Linked DNA regions of Struthio camelus. The protein of the gene in region 1 purifies or fractionates together with the protein of each later gene. This does not show direct contact. Links are inferred from orthologs where the notes say so. Each region holds a gene or a part of one and is shown in the gene's direction. Other genes may lie near its edges.

What was found.
Region 2: the proteins of RSRP1 (region 1) and CPSF6 purify together in Homo sapiens (affinity purification with mass spectrometry; 3 studies listed by BioGRID and IntAct, with this or other methods). This does not show direct contact. The link is inferred for Struthio camelus from reciprocal best matches to the Homo sapiens genes RSRP1 and CPSF6.

What each region holds. Positions count from the first base shown.
Region 1 is NC_090964.1:7,464,686-7,472,599, forward strand, and holds the start of RSRP1 (arginine/serine-rich protein 1), read left to right. Parts: upstream 1-4,889; 5' UTR 4,890-5,113; coding exon 5,114-5,202; intron 5,203-5,443; coding exon 5,444-5,499; intron 5,500-6,787; coding exon 6,788-7,417; intron 7,418-7,771; coding exon 7,772-7,914. Other genes in the region: TMEM50A (transmembrane protein 50A), read right to left, coding at 1,134-1,179, 1,465-1,525, 2,861-2,953, 3,078-3,145, 3,554-3,666, 4,164-4,256.
Region 2 is NC_090942.1:40,603,001-40,610,666, forward strand, and holds the start of CPSF6 (cleavage and polyadenylation specificity factor subunit 6), read left to right. Parts: upstream 1-4,655; 5' UTR 4,656-4,718; coding exon 4,719-4,778; intron 4,779-7,666. UniProt on the Homo sapiens protein: Component of the cleavage factor Im (CFIm) complex that functions as an activator of the pre-mRNA 3'-end cleavage and polyadenylation processing required for the maturation of pre-mRNA into functional mRNAs.

The sequences.
Region 1 (7,914 bases):
ACACTTCCATTAACTGTAATGAAGAGTTTCTTGCCAAGGAGATGCCATAGTTCCATTATGTCAACAGCTGATACCGTGACATTGAGCCTGTATACACATTTGTATGTTTGCATTATCTCACACCTAACATGCTACTAACGTTGTAATGTTCAAATCCAGGTTCAAATGGTGTACTTCAGTTTCTTGCTTTCTAGTAACCAAATGAACACAACTTCTGTAACACAAATTGCTTCTGATGACTTCTAGCAGTGGTGCTGCTTTTAAGGAATAGTATTTTATTCCTTCTCTTTCCCCCACTCTGTCGCATCTCTTTTGTCAGCACTTTCTTAAGCAACTAGCCCCCCCAATACACATATAGGAAGAGGTAGATAACATATGCACTTGAACTGTGAGATAGAGGAAGAGCTGCAGGATCAAAATTCTCCCTGATCATGACTGTCCCTGCTCTAGCTATCATCTGAAGGAGCATCAGTCCCTTGTTTTGCAGGGGTTAAAACAGAGTTGAGAACAAATTTTGTGAAGGGGCTACTTCCATCTAGCGCAGGTACGTAATTCGTATTTGTGCCTCTACAACATCATCCACAGCAACAGAAAGTTGAACTGTCCAGAGACTTCCGCAATATCACCACAGGCCAAAGAAAATATTCAAGGGGAAAAAGCAGCATAATTCCATGTTATGCAAGAAAAGCCACACACAGGTAAATTTTGAAATTGAAGTGTTTAGTGTCCAGATATAGGAAATATTTAATAAATAAATGTTAAAAAGTTGTTTTAAAGTATTTTTAGTAACAGTTTGGGATTGCAAATAACATCATAGAAATAGCTGGTTAAATACAACCTTTCTCTACTGTACTACTTGTAGCAAACTTCATAATCATAAAAGTGACTTCCATTGTTACTTGTATCAATTTTACATTTGTCAAAAACATTACAACATTTAAATCAACATACAAGAGTAAAAAAAAAAGTATTTTAAACAGAATAGAAGCAGAATTGTTAGCACTGTGATTTAAATTTTCCTGTTTTTATCTTTAGACACAATTGAAGGTTACTGTTTACAAAACAAGTTTTACAAAATTTTGGGCGTGTGCAGTTAAAAAAATGACAGGGCCAATGCGCTTCCATAGCTGTGTTCATTGCCACAAATCTTCCGTGCGACCAAATTTGAAGACCAGTCCTCTGTTTAAAACAGAACAAAGAGACATATGTACATAAGGGAGCAGACTAAACACCTAATGTTTTAGATATACGATCTCAGGGAGCAAGTTGCAGTACTTGTAAATCTGCGTCCTGATTCTGCAACCTATGTAGACTGAACCCAGGGCATTACTGACTCTACCCGCAGTCTGTCCACACATATCTAGTTACAAAATAGGGCTTAAGGAAAATCAATTATAGTAAGTTTCAGTTTTAATTGTTAAAAATAAATTTACATGAGAAATGAACAAGGGAAAACAGGCTTACCCAAAAAAGATGAATGCATTCTGGAAAAACACAGCTATTCCTGGGTATACTACTGCTTTTTCTTAAAAAAAAAAAAAAAAAAAAAAAAAAAATCCCATCAGTTTTTCAGAATTCCTTTTTCTCTTCAAGACTAGCCTGTCTCTGACATTCAGAAACACTAAATTGTATTATATTAGCAAAGATACAAGTTTCACTTAAAAAGAATACTTGGAAAGGACTTGCGTGTTGTTAAGCAGTTGCGCAGAAATGAATTTGATAGGAAATCATATTGTAATTGACCCCTCTAATAGATACAGAGATGAAGTGACAATTGCAAATTGTTGCAAACTAAAAATAATTGAAAGCTATAATGAGGGAAAATAAAAACTATAAAACTGTAATGTTTCAGGTACTTGTGTAGATGCTAGGAAAATACATTTGCAAAAATGGTAAAAAATATTCTAAAATTCAGTATTTGTTAAATGAGCAAGGTTCCGCACCTAATCCAACAATTTTTTAGTACTGGCGCTGCTACATAACAAATCTGCCTAACCTGGATTGTTCTTTCTTGGAACTGGATAACATTATGTGTCTGGTATATGTCTTTCATTCTCTAACAAGATGACCCCCCCCCCCCCCCCCCAAATCTCTATTGGTCCATGGTCCCAACTGGTGTGAAACAGAAGACTAAGCATAAGGCTAACCCACACTGGAAAGTTAATTCAATACCTTTTGCACACACACCCCTATGCAGTTAGCTTTCCAACTCTAAAACGGATGTAGGGGCTATTTCACAAGAGGAAGCTTCTCCTGCACTCTAACCTAAAACGTACATTTCAAATGCAGTGATCTCAGAGAGTGTAATTATCCTGAGGGATTGCACATCCTGTACAGGGCACATGGGTGCATGTATAAATATATGCATATATATTTATATATAATGACAACATACAAAATGTGAGTGCGCTTTAGTAGCACAACTATGCAAGTAACACACCTAGATTTCCTTGAAAATTCCCCGTGAACTGAGTAATGCAGAAGCTGAAAAGAATGAATGTACATTAACTCAGATCATTTTTATTCTAGGATTAAGTGTTTACACAGGGAATTATTCCCATAAACTTCAGCAGTTTAAGAACACAACTCTGGGCCACATGGGAAACGGCAGTGATATGATTAATGAGGCTGATTAACAGCCTTTTTCTATAGAAAGCAGACTAACAATAACCTTCTTAAGGAATAGAAATTTCGCTAATAGTACATAGTATGGAATAGGGGCGCTCAGGGAACCAAAATATTAAAAATGGGCCTTCCCAGAAACAATCTGAAACCAAGTTCTAAAGTTCAACAGACATTTAAAATACTTTGAAGTAAATTATCAAAAATGCGTCAGGTCACGTTCCGTATCGCGTCTTACCTTTGACAACATAGCCTCCAAAAAGGATCCACATGGAAGCGATCAGAGATCCAAAAGCCATCATAAAACCGATGAATAGCCAAATCCGTGCACCTTAAAAAAAGACATTTTGTGTATGGATGTTTTGTGCCCGTGTCCGAGTACAGATACTTGTAACTTTCAACATGCTTTTGTTTCAGAGGCTTTATAATTTGCAATTTTTTAAAAATCACCTTACCTGTTTGTCCTAGACAGCCTTCACTGTAACTGTCACCCCGAACTTGTCCGTTAGACACTGCATTGATCCTGTTTAAGCAAAACAAGATCAAACTAGGTAGCACTGGTGAAACAAGATGTAAACATTTATAAGCAACAGGAGAAACTTCTCAGAAACCCATATAAAACGGGTGGTGCTTTCTTTCTTACAAATGTTTTGTAGTTTTTTTTTTTAAAGGGGGACACGGGTAAAACTTGAAAAAGTCATTTCTCCCGATACAAACTAATAAAACTTGGATCTGTACAACACACCCTTAACTTTTTTAAATGGTTCCTTCCTATAAATATAAAAAATAGGATAGATATTAGAGATGCTTTAGATACTAACTTGATTTTTTATTCTTTGTTACCTCTCACTTTAAAGTCTATGTGTTCTTTTATTAATTGCACAGATTAAGTTCTAGGAGTGCGTAGCTCTGATCAAGAAATTACACTTACATTAGGAATGCAATAGTGGCTATAACCCCACAAGCATGGTACGAATGGTTGAATTCTTCCGCTTCAGGGTATTTTACAGCCGCATCTATGATTATCCACCAACCTGTAAAAAACTATTTAAAAAACCACAGGAGCTTAAAATACAGACATAACCCTTTTTATCAGTATACGAGTACCCTACCAAAAATAACATTAATATATAAAACCATTGTTATAGTCCAGTCTAGATTCAACTAAGGCACAACCAGGTTTGCTATCAACTTCATTAGGAACAATAGTAAACGCAAAGCCAGCGAGATACCTCCTGAGAGTTAGTGCACGTTATACAGGTAAAAGCTGAGAAAGTTCCTAGTGCGTCTTTAAAACGTCTCTACAGAAAACATTATAGAACAGCTAAGATTGTTCTTTTGAAGAGCTAACCTCGTTTGGGAAAGCATTCTTTGGATGCAAAGGCCTAGCTAGGCGTAGGCTCTAACTCTGCTGCTACGTACACTGCCAATATACCCCCCCCCCCTTCTTCCTTTTGCTTCCAAACGCCTAATTTTCAGCTCACTGGCAGTTAACTCCATGCAAAAAAGCCCCAGTAGGCTACGAAAGCGGCTGTACGCACTAGCACTCCTGCAGCAACAGAAGCGATCGTGTTCCGTTTTTCTCCCCAGTCCACGCACTCCGAGCACCTCAAGCTCTCAAGAAAGCCAGACATTTTTCAGCTCTCCGAAGAACTGGAAAAGAAAAATAGGAGCCTTTATTTCAAAGAGGAAATTTATCACGCATCAACTGGAGGCGGTGAGCCTCCACTGCAACGATACCGCACAGCGCCTGGCCGCCAACACCCCCCGGAAGGCCCCGGCGAGGCGGCGGCCGCAGAGCTGAGGCGCAGACGGGAGGCGCCGCGGCGGGACGCCCGCGCCGGAGGTGGGCGACACGCGGCGATGCCGCGGGCACCGCGGGAGGGGGAGAAGGCACGGGACGAGCGGCCTGTGCCGCCCGGGGAGCGCGCACGCCCCGCAGGGGCTGCCCGCCGCCGCCGCTTACCTCAGCGCGGGGGAAGGGCCGTCGCCGGCGCCCCGCCGGCGCGCGCGGCAGCCCCAACCGCCGCCAGGGAACGGGCCCCGCCGCGCAGCACCAACCGTCGCCAGCGCGCGCACTGCGCAGGCGCGGCCCTCAGCTGATGCGCACCGGGAGAGTCATGAGACCAAGCGGCTGCGCGCATGCCCAGTAGGGCCAGGCAGGCAGCCGGCACATCCTTCTGCGCATGCGCCAGAAGAAAAAAGGCGACGGGGGCGACCGCGGCCAATACGCACGCGCACCAGTCTCGCTGTGGGCGGGTGTTGGCCTTCGGCGCATGCGCCTTGGCTTCCCCGTTACGCAAGCGGGGAGCGGGCCGGGGGGGGGGGTTCTGGAAATTTCTCGGCCGTTCTCAGTCGCTCTCAGTCGCTGCTGGGAGGCGGGAGCGGTTGGGGACGGTGCTGCGCTGCGCTGCGTGGGCTGCGCTGTCGGAGGGCTCCGTGGGGCTGCGTCGCCGCTCGTTTCCTGAGGGGAAGGGTCCGTCCGGTCGCTATGGGGGTGACTCACGAAGCGGGGCTGTCGCCTCAGGCGTCGCCACAGGAGCAGGATCCGTGGGGAGGTGGCCCAGCTGCCTGGAGCCGGTGAGTCAGCGGGGCCCGGGCTCGGAGCGGGGGCGCTGGGCACCCTCCCGGAGCCGGTGCCGGCGGGAGGAGTTGGCGGGGATGCTAGGGGCGGCGGGACGGCGGCGGCCGTTACTCGCCTGTTCCTTGCCGGGGGGAGGGAGGGGGAATGCGGGCCGGCTTCAGGAGGGGACGGGGGACAGTGGGTGTAGGGTAGCCCTGGGGCTGGCAAACAGACTCCACATATCTCTCTTTGTAACAGGAACGCCCAGGTTCCCCCAGGGAACCGGCACCTGGGATGTCCGGCAGCCCCCAGCGGTAAGTGCCAGAGCGAAATCGAGTCCCCTTGAATTCCCCCAGCAGCGTTCATGCAGAGAGGTGCGCGGAGGGCAGCGCTTACACCTTGTCGGTGCCCGTTCACAATTTGGCAGGTGCAGAACGGTTGTATGAGGATATCTGTGATACGCTCCAATACTCTACAGTGTTGAAAATATTACTGTTTAGGTAGCTTAGTATGTTATGGGGAGTTAGCTCAGAATTAATAACTGTTTTGTGTGGAATGCGTTCTGTGCAATGGTTGTGAGCTTTGCACTTGTTTAGAGGTGAGGTAGTGAAACTTGCTTCTAGTAGTAGTGAGGGGAATACTTCTTGTGGAAGGTTATAGAGCTGTTTGGTGCTCTTGATAAGAAGGCTGTAAGACTGGTTGGGTAACTCTTGTTTACAGTGAGCACCAAATACGACTTTTATCGTGAAGTGGGCTTTCTTGAACTGTAAAGCGGTGGCATAACTAAGAACTTGAGATAGGATAGTTACACAACTAGGATGCAGTAACCTTTGTATATGTAAAATGGCTGCCAGTAAAGGAGGGCAGCCATTTCATTTATTAATATATCACCTCAGGTAGTGTTTCATTCTTAATAAATCATCTCCAATAAGGCATTAGCTGTATCTCTCACAAATTGTGTAGAGTAGCTTTTGTAACAGTGGCTTGCTATGCATACTGTATAAAGTGTGCGTGGAGTACTGTTCAGAGATAACTTAGTAACGTAATAGTCAAGATCTTGAAGTGGTACTTTTCTAACTTGGAGATATATAGATACGTATGTATATTTTTGTGTTTGAAGTAGCTACTTCATCTCTACAGAATTGCAGGAATAAACTTGATTTTATGCTAACCTTGAAGACATATGACTTCTGCAGCTGAGATACCTTGGTAGTAAACTATATTTAGAATAGTCTGGCCCAGCCTTGAAAGTTCTGTTAAGAAAATCTGAATTCATACCCTTTTCATAAAAGTATGCTTACACTGAATGAAGGGTATTAAACTAAAAACCCACACAAACTTCTCAGAGTACCCCAGAGAATTACTCATGGTTTAAACTGAAGTTGTTTTTTCTTTCATATAGAAGACTCTTGGCCGTAGGAGAGGAAATGATGAAACCTAAAATTGTCATAGGTAAAACATGCTGATAAACTGGGTGAGAATTGTCATTGTGTTTGATTACTCTTAAACTGTTTGCCAGTGGTTGTCATAACGTTTGTCTGTGGCTGCTGTATAAATGACCTGGCTGCCTCATTTCTGTTCCCGGCCCCCCTTTCTGAACAGGAACAGAAACTGGCTTTTGTAGAATACCAATAAAAACAGAGCCAACTTCCAGTACCTGCATGGAGAAAATGAAGGTTAGAAAGACCGATGACATGACAAACTTCATGGATGACTTAACCCTCAGCTCTCCTAAGAAAAGAGAATCTTGTCTGAGATCCAGAAGAAGTTGTGATAGGTCATCAACAAGGTCATCTAGCAGATCGTCTTACAGTTCACAGTCCAGTTCAAGCAGTTCCTCTTCAGCTTCCTCAAGGAGCTGGAGCCGGTCTAGATCCAGATCACGATCGTGGGGTAGAAGAAATGGTTGCCGAAGGTACGGAAGATATTCTCGATCATATTCCAGAAGCCGGTCGAGATCACGTGGTGGCTACATGAGGTACCGAGGAAGGTACCGTACCAGACACTACAGGCGGTACTACCGTTCTCCTCCAAGATACAGATCACGCAGCAGGTCGTGGTCACGTGGAAGATCATGTTACAGAAGGTCCTATTCAAGAAGCAGATCACGTTCAAGAGGCCGAAGATATTATGGATTTGGGCGAACGGTATATCCTGAGGCTTACAGGAGCTGGAGAAGCAGGTCACGAACGAGATCTCGTAGTAGATCACCTCTGCACTTGAGTGAAAAAGGTACTTTTTTAGTGAGAGTTTCATTGTATGTGAGAAAACTCAACAATATACTATTTATGCTAACTGGTCAAGTTCTAATCTCTAGATTTGCTTTATAGAACAAAACTGATAACGGCAACGTGGAAGAAATCTCCACATAGTTATATATAGTTTTTTATATATTTTTATAACTAGGTAGCTTGGAATATGTTCTTAGCCCTTAAACTGAAGCGAAACTTTACAAGTTCTGATCACAATCGTTCAGAGTTGATACTTAGAAAAGTGCAGTGTTAGTATACCTGCAGTTCCTAGGCTAGTAAGAGTAGCTACATACTGATCTAAATGCAAGAAAATGACGCTCTCTCCCTCTTGTAGAGAAGAGGGAGCTTCTGGAAATTGCAAAAGCTAATGCTGCAAAAGCCCTGGGGACAGATAAGATAGTCTTGCCAGCGAGCTTGAAGGTCATTACTCCTTCCAAAGAGACAAATAACAAAGAGCTAGAGCATGAAGATCTTGGC
Region 2 (7,666 bases), on another chromosome or scaffold:
TGGACACACTCACCCAAATCTTGACTTGTTTTTTACCTCTCCTGCCTGCGCTCTGCTCTCCTCTTCCCCCAATCCCTTTTTTTCTACAGCTCAGTGTTGGATAATGGCCCAAATCACCCAGAGCCAGTATATAGGGCTGTGTGTTTGACCCCAGAGTGCGCATGCAAATCAAGGGTGTGAAAACGCTGGAAGAGTCTTTCCAGAGTTGTGGCAACAGCTTTTGTGACAGGCATTGTAGCAAAAAAGACGCAGAAGAAATGGCTTAAAGGCTTATAATTTGGATGCAGACAAAGTGCTCCAGCTCAGGAGCCTTTCTGGGATCTAGCAGAGCAATCTAGCAGAGCTGTGTAGATGTAGCTGAGGACCAGTGTCAGACGGGTTGGCATGTTGTTTGAGTAACGTGTTACCTTCTAGTTCCAGACTTAATTCTGCTTATTTATGGCATAGTAACTATTGAAATTGCCATTCCTGAAATCTGGAAGTGTATAATTTTCAAAAACAAACCCGACCATTGTGGGTTGTCTTGTCTGGACTTCTAAATAGTTGAGCTGTAAAGAGAAGAAGCCTGGGGAACAGCGTTGTGTCGGCCTGTGCTCCAAAACGCTGAGGCAGTTGCAATGCATGAGTGAATCGTGAAGACTTTTTTTCAAATTCAGAATAATTCTTGATAACAGAAGTAAACAGAAATCAAAAAAAGAAAAATGCACAAAACCCTATGCAGTTAAGTTACGCCAGAGCTCAAATACTTTGAAAAATCAACAACATCTGAAAGTAGTTTAGATAGTGCTTTTCCTTTGTTTGCATATGCATATAGCGCATTCAAAGAAGGATCTGTTTAATGCATTTAACGTATTTAACAGGTTTCAGCCAATTTAGAAGAGGAGATTAATTGCAGAAAGGTATTGCAAAGAACAGGTTAGTGCTGAACGTAAGGGTAAAAATAAAGTTAAGGAGAGAGGTTTTTAAACAAATAGAAAGTGAAGCTATCCAAATAAACAGTGAGTGATCTAAAGCTGAAAATTTGATTTCATAGTTTTCTCGAGCCAACTGAGCCTTCCGATTAATGGCTTATAAGGCAGTGGATTCAAATTGGACAATTGAAGTTATTACCATCCCTTGCTCTGTACTTACCTTCCTGCCTTGAGGGTTGGGAAATCCACACTATTAGTGAATCAGCTCCTGATTCCCTGCAATTTTCAACCCGCCTCCGAATCACTGAGTGAAGAGCTGAACCAACAGAACGAGTAGACTGACGGACAAAAGAAAAGAAGGAAAAAGTAGGAAAAAAAAAAGAGATGGAACTCTATACTTATGTGCATGAGCCCAAAACAATTGAATACCTACAAAAAGAGGAACCTGGGCAAGAAATGAGTTATACAAATACTTTCCTACACAGTTGAGTCAGTAGGAGGTCTTGCAGATGCTCTTAGGATTTAGTTTCATGCTACACTTAACCCAATCTAACCGTGGGCTGCAGCCAGAAGAGGAGGTATTTACTGCCCCTTTCCCTGCACAGGCTGTGCCACTACCTCTTTTGGAATGAGAACATGATGATCCCTTTCCTTGTCAACCTGCAATTACATTAGCGTTAACATAACATGAAATTTCAGCCTTCTAAAACAAGGACACAAGCAAGGAGTTGTGCCTATTTGCCACCTCATTTGGGACATGCTTCTTCCTCACTCTGCTGTCTGAGCAGTTTTATGTGCTAAGGCACTTCAGTGGAAGAGACAATTTCTTACAGTTTGGAATGCACAGACTTTTACCATTTGGATACTTTTATTGGGAGAAAAACAATAAAAGAGCATGCCCAGTGGCTCCAGGCAGCTTTGGCAAGATCGAAAGCTTCAGGGCTACGACTAAACAAACAAAACATATATTCAATGCAATGGGACTAACAAAGCTAGGACGTAAGTTTATACAACACCACATACAGGTAGATCTCAAGTAAGCTGCTTTTGAGCACTATCCTGATTACACAGCACTTTCTGGAATCATTTCTCATCTTTTCACTTTGTTGTCTGTAACATTACTGCGTGAGCAGCTTAGTCTGATACTAAGATGAAAAGTGTGTTGGAAAGTTCCTTTATCATTCTTCGTCTTCACTCCTCAGGGAAATTTCTAACATATATTTATTTTTTTAATTTAAAAATATATTTTTGCTGTGTTCATGGTAGAAAAAATAGAATATTTTCAAAATTGGGATTATATTGAAGCTGGTTCTGCCACTTTTACCTGAAGCCCGACGTTTAAAGGTATTTTGAAGTAATGACATACAAACAAAGATGAGGGGAAAGCATTCTCCTCCCCTCCGTCTTGCAGCTGTTAACATACTAGTAGAAGAGGCACTGAAAGGCCTCAGAGAGGCAAGCACAGAGAGGCTTGTGGGCTAGCAGTGCATGCTTCATGAGGTTCAGAGCACCCACAGTTGCTTCTGTATTCAAGATCAGGATTATACTTTCTGTCATTACAACAGAAGAGACCAGTGAAACAACATACAAATGAACAGGCTCTTGTGGATCAATGTGAAACATGAGCTTAAAGTATAGACCACTTTCCCAGGTATAGTCGCCAGCGTCCTGGCTTCCTCCTGCTTTTGATATCTAGCAAGAGCTGGAGATGGAAGAGTATCCGATGGTGTGAAAGAGGAACTTGAGCAAGACATTAGCTTATCTGCCACCATTTGCTCTCATGTTACCCTCCGGCTTTGGAAATTGTGCAATTACTTCCTATTCCATGGCTTTTACTGTCCCAAACAAAGCTTATGAGGGCTCTTGTCCCAGACCACGCTGCACCACAAATATTCTTTCATAATTACATTTCTTTTTCAGCCCATTCTCTGCCTCAGTCTTTTGAATTTTACTGGGAGGAGGCAGTGAATGGTATACATAATTTTGATGTATACAAAATAGAAAGCATTAACATTTTCATCAGAGTTGATCAATTGTTAAGTTGCTCCATGGAGAGATAATAATTCACAAAGATGCTATTGCTGACCACAAGAAAGTTGAAGACATATTTAGTGAGTCTGCTCATGAAGAAAATGAAAACACAGCAGAAAGTAAATAGAACAGCTTGCATAATGTTTACAGTCTCCTACACTGTTTACAGAATTTGCTTAATGATATGTATGCAAGAATAAAAATAATCACAGTATATTCTGTAGAGGTCTGCATGCAATAAATCCAGCCAGTGCAACTGTTTAGAAAAGCTCCAAGGTGGTAATGCCTCTTGAACCCAGAACACAGCATAGAGGGCCCTACGGGTCTCAGTGATGACCCTTCCTTATCTTACAGAGCAAAGAAGAGGCAAAGTCTTTTCCTGCCTCTTCAAAGACTCCTGACAGGGTCCTTCCAATGCTACTGATCCCTCAGGTGGTTTCTGAGGTGAGCGGAATGACTTCCCCATTCATATTTAATTTCTTTGCCCTTTTATTAAACATCATTACAATCTATGCATAACTTTCCTAAGATACCCAGATGCATATAAAACACCCAACTGCACACAGCCTAGTGTCTCCTATGAATTCTTATCCGATCATTAGGACAGCAAGGGGTAAGTTGTCTTGACCTCAGTAACTTTGTGCAGCACAGCCAGATGGGCAAAACTATTAAGTGCCATAGTCACTAAATCATTTCATCATGAAGCAAATCTGTGAACCCTTTTAGATTTCAATGCTGTAATAGTATCTGTATGCACAGTGACAAATCCAGAGGAAAAGCCAATCTTCCTTGCAAAACCAATGGATCATTTCATCCACACATGACCTATACAGTCGTAGACGTGAACTGGTATTTAGATTTTTTTTTTTAATTTAATTTTTTAAATTTGCGATTATCAGTTGGGAAACAGCACTAAAAGTTCAGGCAGGGGGGTTTGTTTGTTTAACTACCCTCTCTAACATGTTTCTTCAGCTGATACCTCCGCTCTTGCAAAGGCTAACGGACCTGCTAGTTCCTCTATAACCAGGAAACTCCCAGTGCGTTTGCGAGCAGACTCCCTGCCTGAAGGCGTCTGCCTTCCCGAGTCACTGACATCAGGAATGATACCAGAGGCCTGTCCCTCGTATAGTTTAACGTGCCACGAGCTGGATAAGAACCCCCGGGACTAGCCCTTCAGCAGCTCCTAGGTGCCCCAGCAGACCCGCTTGCCGCGGTCCTCTGCTGTTTCCGCTCTTTGCTGGTCCGTCCGCCTTTCCTTCCAGGGGGGCGGCACGCACCCGAGGCGGGAAGTCAGGCCGGGCTGCAACACGCAACCCCGGCCCAGCCGCCGCCAAGCAGCCCCAGGCACGGGGAAAGACCTTCCGGAGCAGCCCGAAATTACCACTGAAGCATCTTTACTGCTTGCAGCTATGGTTTCACCTTGTTTTAATTCCGCCCCAGCCACGTCAGCTTGGGTGCGGTAACATCACCGTTCTTCCGCCGCCGGCCGCAACAGGAAAACCCGGCGGGCGCCCAGTGGCGGGGGGCCGGCAGGACGGGCAGCGCCGCTCCCCCCCCCGCCGCCCCGGCCCCGGCCCCAACGGCCGCCGCCCCGGCCCCAACGGCCGCCGCCACTTCTGCGGCGGCCGGAAGTCCCTCCCGTCCCCTCCCCGCCCCTGGCGGAAGTGACGCGTGCTGCCGTGCCCTCCCCCCCTGGCGGCGGCGGCGGCGGCGGCGGCGGCTCGGGAGCCGGGCGCGGCTGGCGGCGGCCCGAGGCGCGGCGCGGCGGGCGGGATCATGGCGGACGGCGTGGACCACATCGACATCTACGCCGATGTGGGAGAGGAGTTCAACCAGGTACGCGCGGCCGCGCCGGGCCCCTCCCCTCCGCTCCGCGCCGCGCCGCCTGCAGGGCCCTCGGCGCCGCGGTGGGGCCGGGCCGGGCCGGGTCGGGCCTGGCGGCGCCATTGTTCGGCCGGCTCCGCGCTGAGGCTTTGCCGCGGCGGCCGGGCCCGATGGCGCCGTCGCTGTGCCCCTCGCCGCGCCGCGCGGATGGGGCTCGGCCGGCGCCGCGGCCAGGCCGCGTTTCGGGCCCGGCCCGCGGCGGGGACAGCAGGGGAAGGCAGGGCCGCGCCGCCGTCTCGGAGGGGAAGCGGGCGCCGAGCATGGAGGGAGGGAGGGAGCGGCTGCCTTCCCGCCCTCCCTCCGCCAGTGGCCGCGCAGCAGCGGAGCAAAATCCCGCTCCCGCCGCAAGAGGAGGAGGCCGTCAGAGACGGGACCCTCCCGGATGTGGTGGGGAGAGTGGCTCCCTCCCGGCGGCGGAGGGGAAATACTGCCATTGTTCGCCCATGAGTTTTTAAAAGAAAAAAAAAAAAAGAAGTCGCCGTGCGGGAGCCGTTTCTCGGCCGCTCTTTGCGGGGGAGGTTGAACTACTGCGGCTCTATTACGCAGGAGAGGAGAAACTGTCTTCTTTTCACTCTTTCTTCTCGCCTGCTCCTTAGAAAAGACATTACTTCCCTCCTCTACAGGAGGAGCTCCCTTTTGGTGAGGAAGTGGTGTTGGAATAAACAGGACTTCCCTGGCTTACAAGTAGCCGATTCCTCTGCTTCCTTTTTTCCTCGTATCTCTCCCAAAAAGTAACATTCCTACTTTCCCGCTGAAATCTGATGTTTGAATCAGATTTGCGTGCCATCTGTCGTGTTTGCAACCATGCCACTTCTCTAGGTTGTGTTGCCCCAGATTGCGTTGTTCCTGCCCTAGAACGTAAATAACCAAGCACGGCTTTGCTTCCACAGATTTACCAGGCTTACTGAGTGAGGCCCAGCGCTCTGCCTGCCTGCCTGCCCTACAGAGAACTGAGAGACAATAGGTTGTGGAAGTCGCAGTTAATTTGGATAGCAACTCATAAGTGTCTCAGGAAACTTGAATTCTTTAGGTATTTATTGATAAAGTAATTCAGAAGATTAGCAGTCTCACAAAGGTATACCATTTAGGAATGTTGGATCAGATGAGCAGACAAGGGAGAGAACTGAATTATTCTCTTAGTTTGCTCTTAGATTGTCTAGAGGTGAAGATTTCACTCTTACAATTGAAAGTTCATTATATGAAACTAAATTAGGGTAACCCAAGCACAAATACCATTTTATCGTAAGAGTACATCTGTTCAGTTTCTTTATTAACTTTTTTTTATCAGTTCCAAGTAGGATATTGATAGCTAATTAAGTAATTCAGAACAATTAATTGAATCCAGTAGTGCTGGTGTAAATTCACGAGTGCAGAAGCCCTCAAAGTTGAATAATTTATGGCTGCGAGTATAGTGCAGATAGATACTGCCAGAGCAAAACTGATGGGGATATTCTGTTTCGTGCAATATAACAACGTTCTCCTGGTCTGCTCAGATACTGGCTGATTTTGACATTCTCTGTAGCTGTGTTACTAGGGAGGATGATTTTACAGATGAAGAGAGTCTAGTGATAGTCTAGCTGATGCAGCAGTCAGGAACACCTTTTGGTCTTTTTGCTGCACCCACCCCTGTTGCCTTCCTGCTGGGGCTGTGTTTCTGCACTGTTACTTCCCCTGTTTGTGACTCTGGCAGAACACAGAGCAGAAGAATAAGAAGGAATTGGTGCCCCTTTTCCCTTAGCGTCTCTCTTTTATTTGCAAGATTTTGCTGCTTAGTCTTTTCAAAGTTTGATTTTCATGACTTGCATGTTGTCTCGGACCTGCTCGGTTGAACAGTATTACTTTAAAATAGAAAGCGATAGTGGGAGACATTGACACCTCTGCACTTTCCCCGTTTTGTTCTGTCAAGCATGAAGGAAGGCTGATTGTTGCTTTGTACAGTATTGCTTGCTGCCTCTAATTCTGACATTGTTGTGATGGGTCTTTTTAAAAACTGTTTCTGGTGATTTTTGATTTGAACCTTACAGCTTAAATTGATAAGACAGAGAGTTGACTAATGCTGTAGGGAGAAAGTGATTAGCATTATTAATCTGTTTACATAGCAAACGTTTTACAGGGTGCTGTATTTGTAAAGAAAGCTTGCTATATGTGTAAAGCAGTAAACGATTGTTCTTGGATTGGGTGGTGCTAGGTTAATTTGATTCATGAATACTCATTTGAGTTGGTCTACAGGAACCATTTCCACTAGTTTTGCCAGTAGCAGGGACTGAAAATACACTATTCTGGCTTTGTCATTCTTCTGAAGTGCAGAATAACTGTATTTTTACCCAGGCCAGGAAAAAACTTTTCCTTACATCCGTGGTGTTTCAAATAGGTCTGTAAGGACTTGTGATTGGATGAGTTTCCCTCCATTGCTTTGTCCTGTTCTGGGCATCAAGATGCTCCTCTTGGGTCTCTTCTGGGATTTTTATAGGCATCCTTCTAGGAGAAGGGATGTTCCGCTTGATTATTGCTATATGAGTCACAGGTAAGAAGGGTGAAATACAGACCAGAGAGCCCCAGGTTTACCAGCTGGCTAAACTGGATGAACGTGAGAACTGACGAGGGTGGTATTGGTGCTGGTTACCGTGATCTGGCTGGCGCAACTTGAAGTCAAATCTTTTTCCTTTAGTGAAAGCACATCCTTTCCATTCCATCTGGTGCTCATCAAAACTACATGCCTATGTTGCCTTTCACCTTTCATCAACTTGCCGTTCATCATATGTATATTCTTTATCCTTATGTTTACAGCTCTTAATCAATTTGGCTCCTACGGATTTTATTTATTTATTTATTATGCCTTC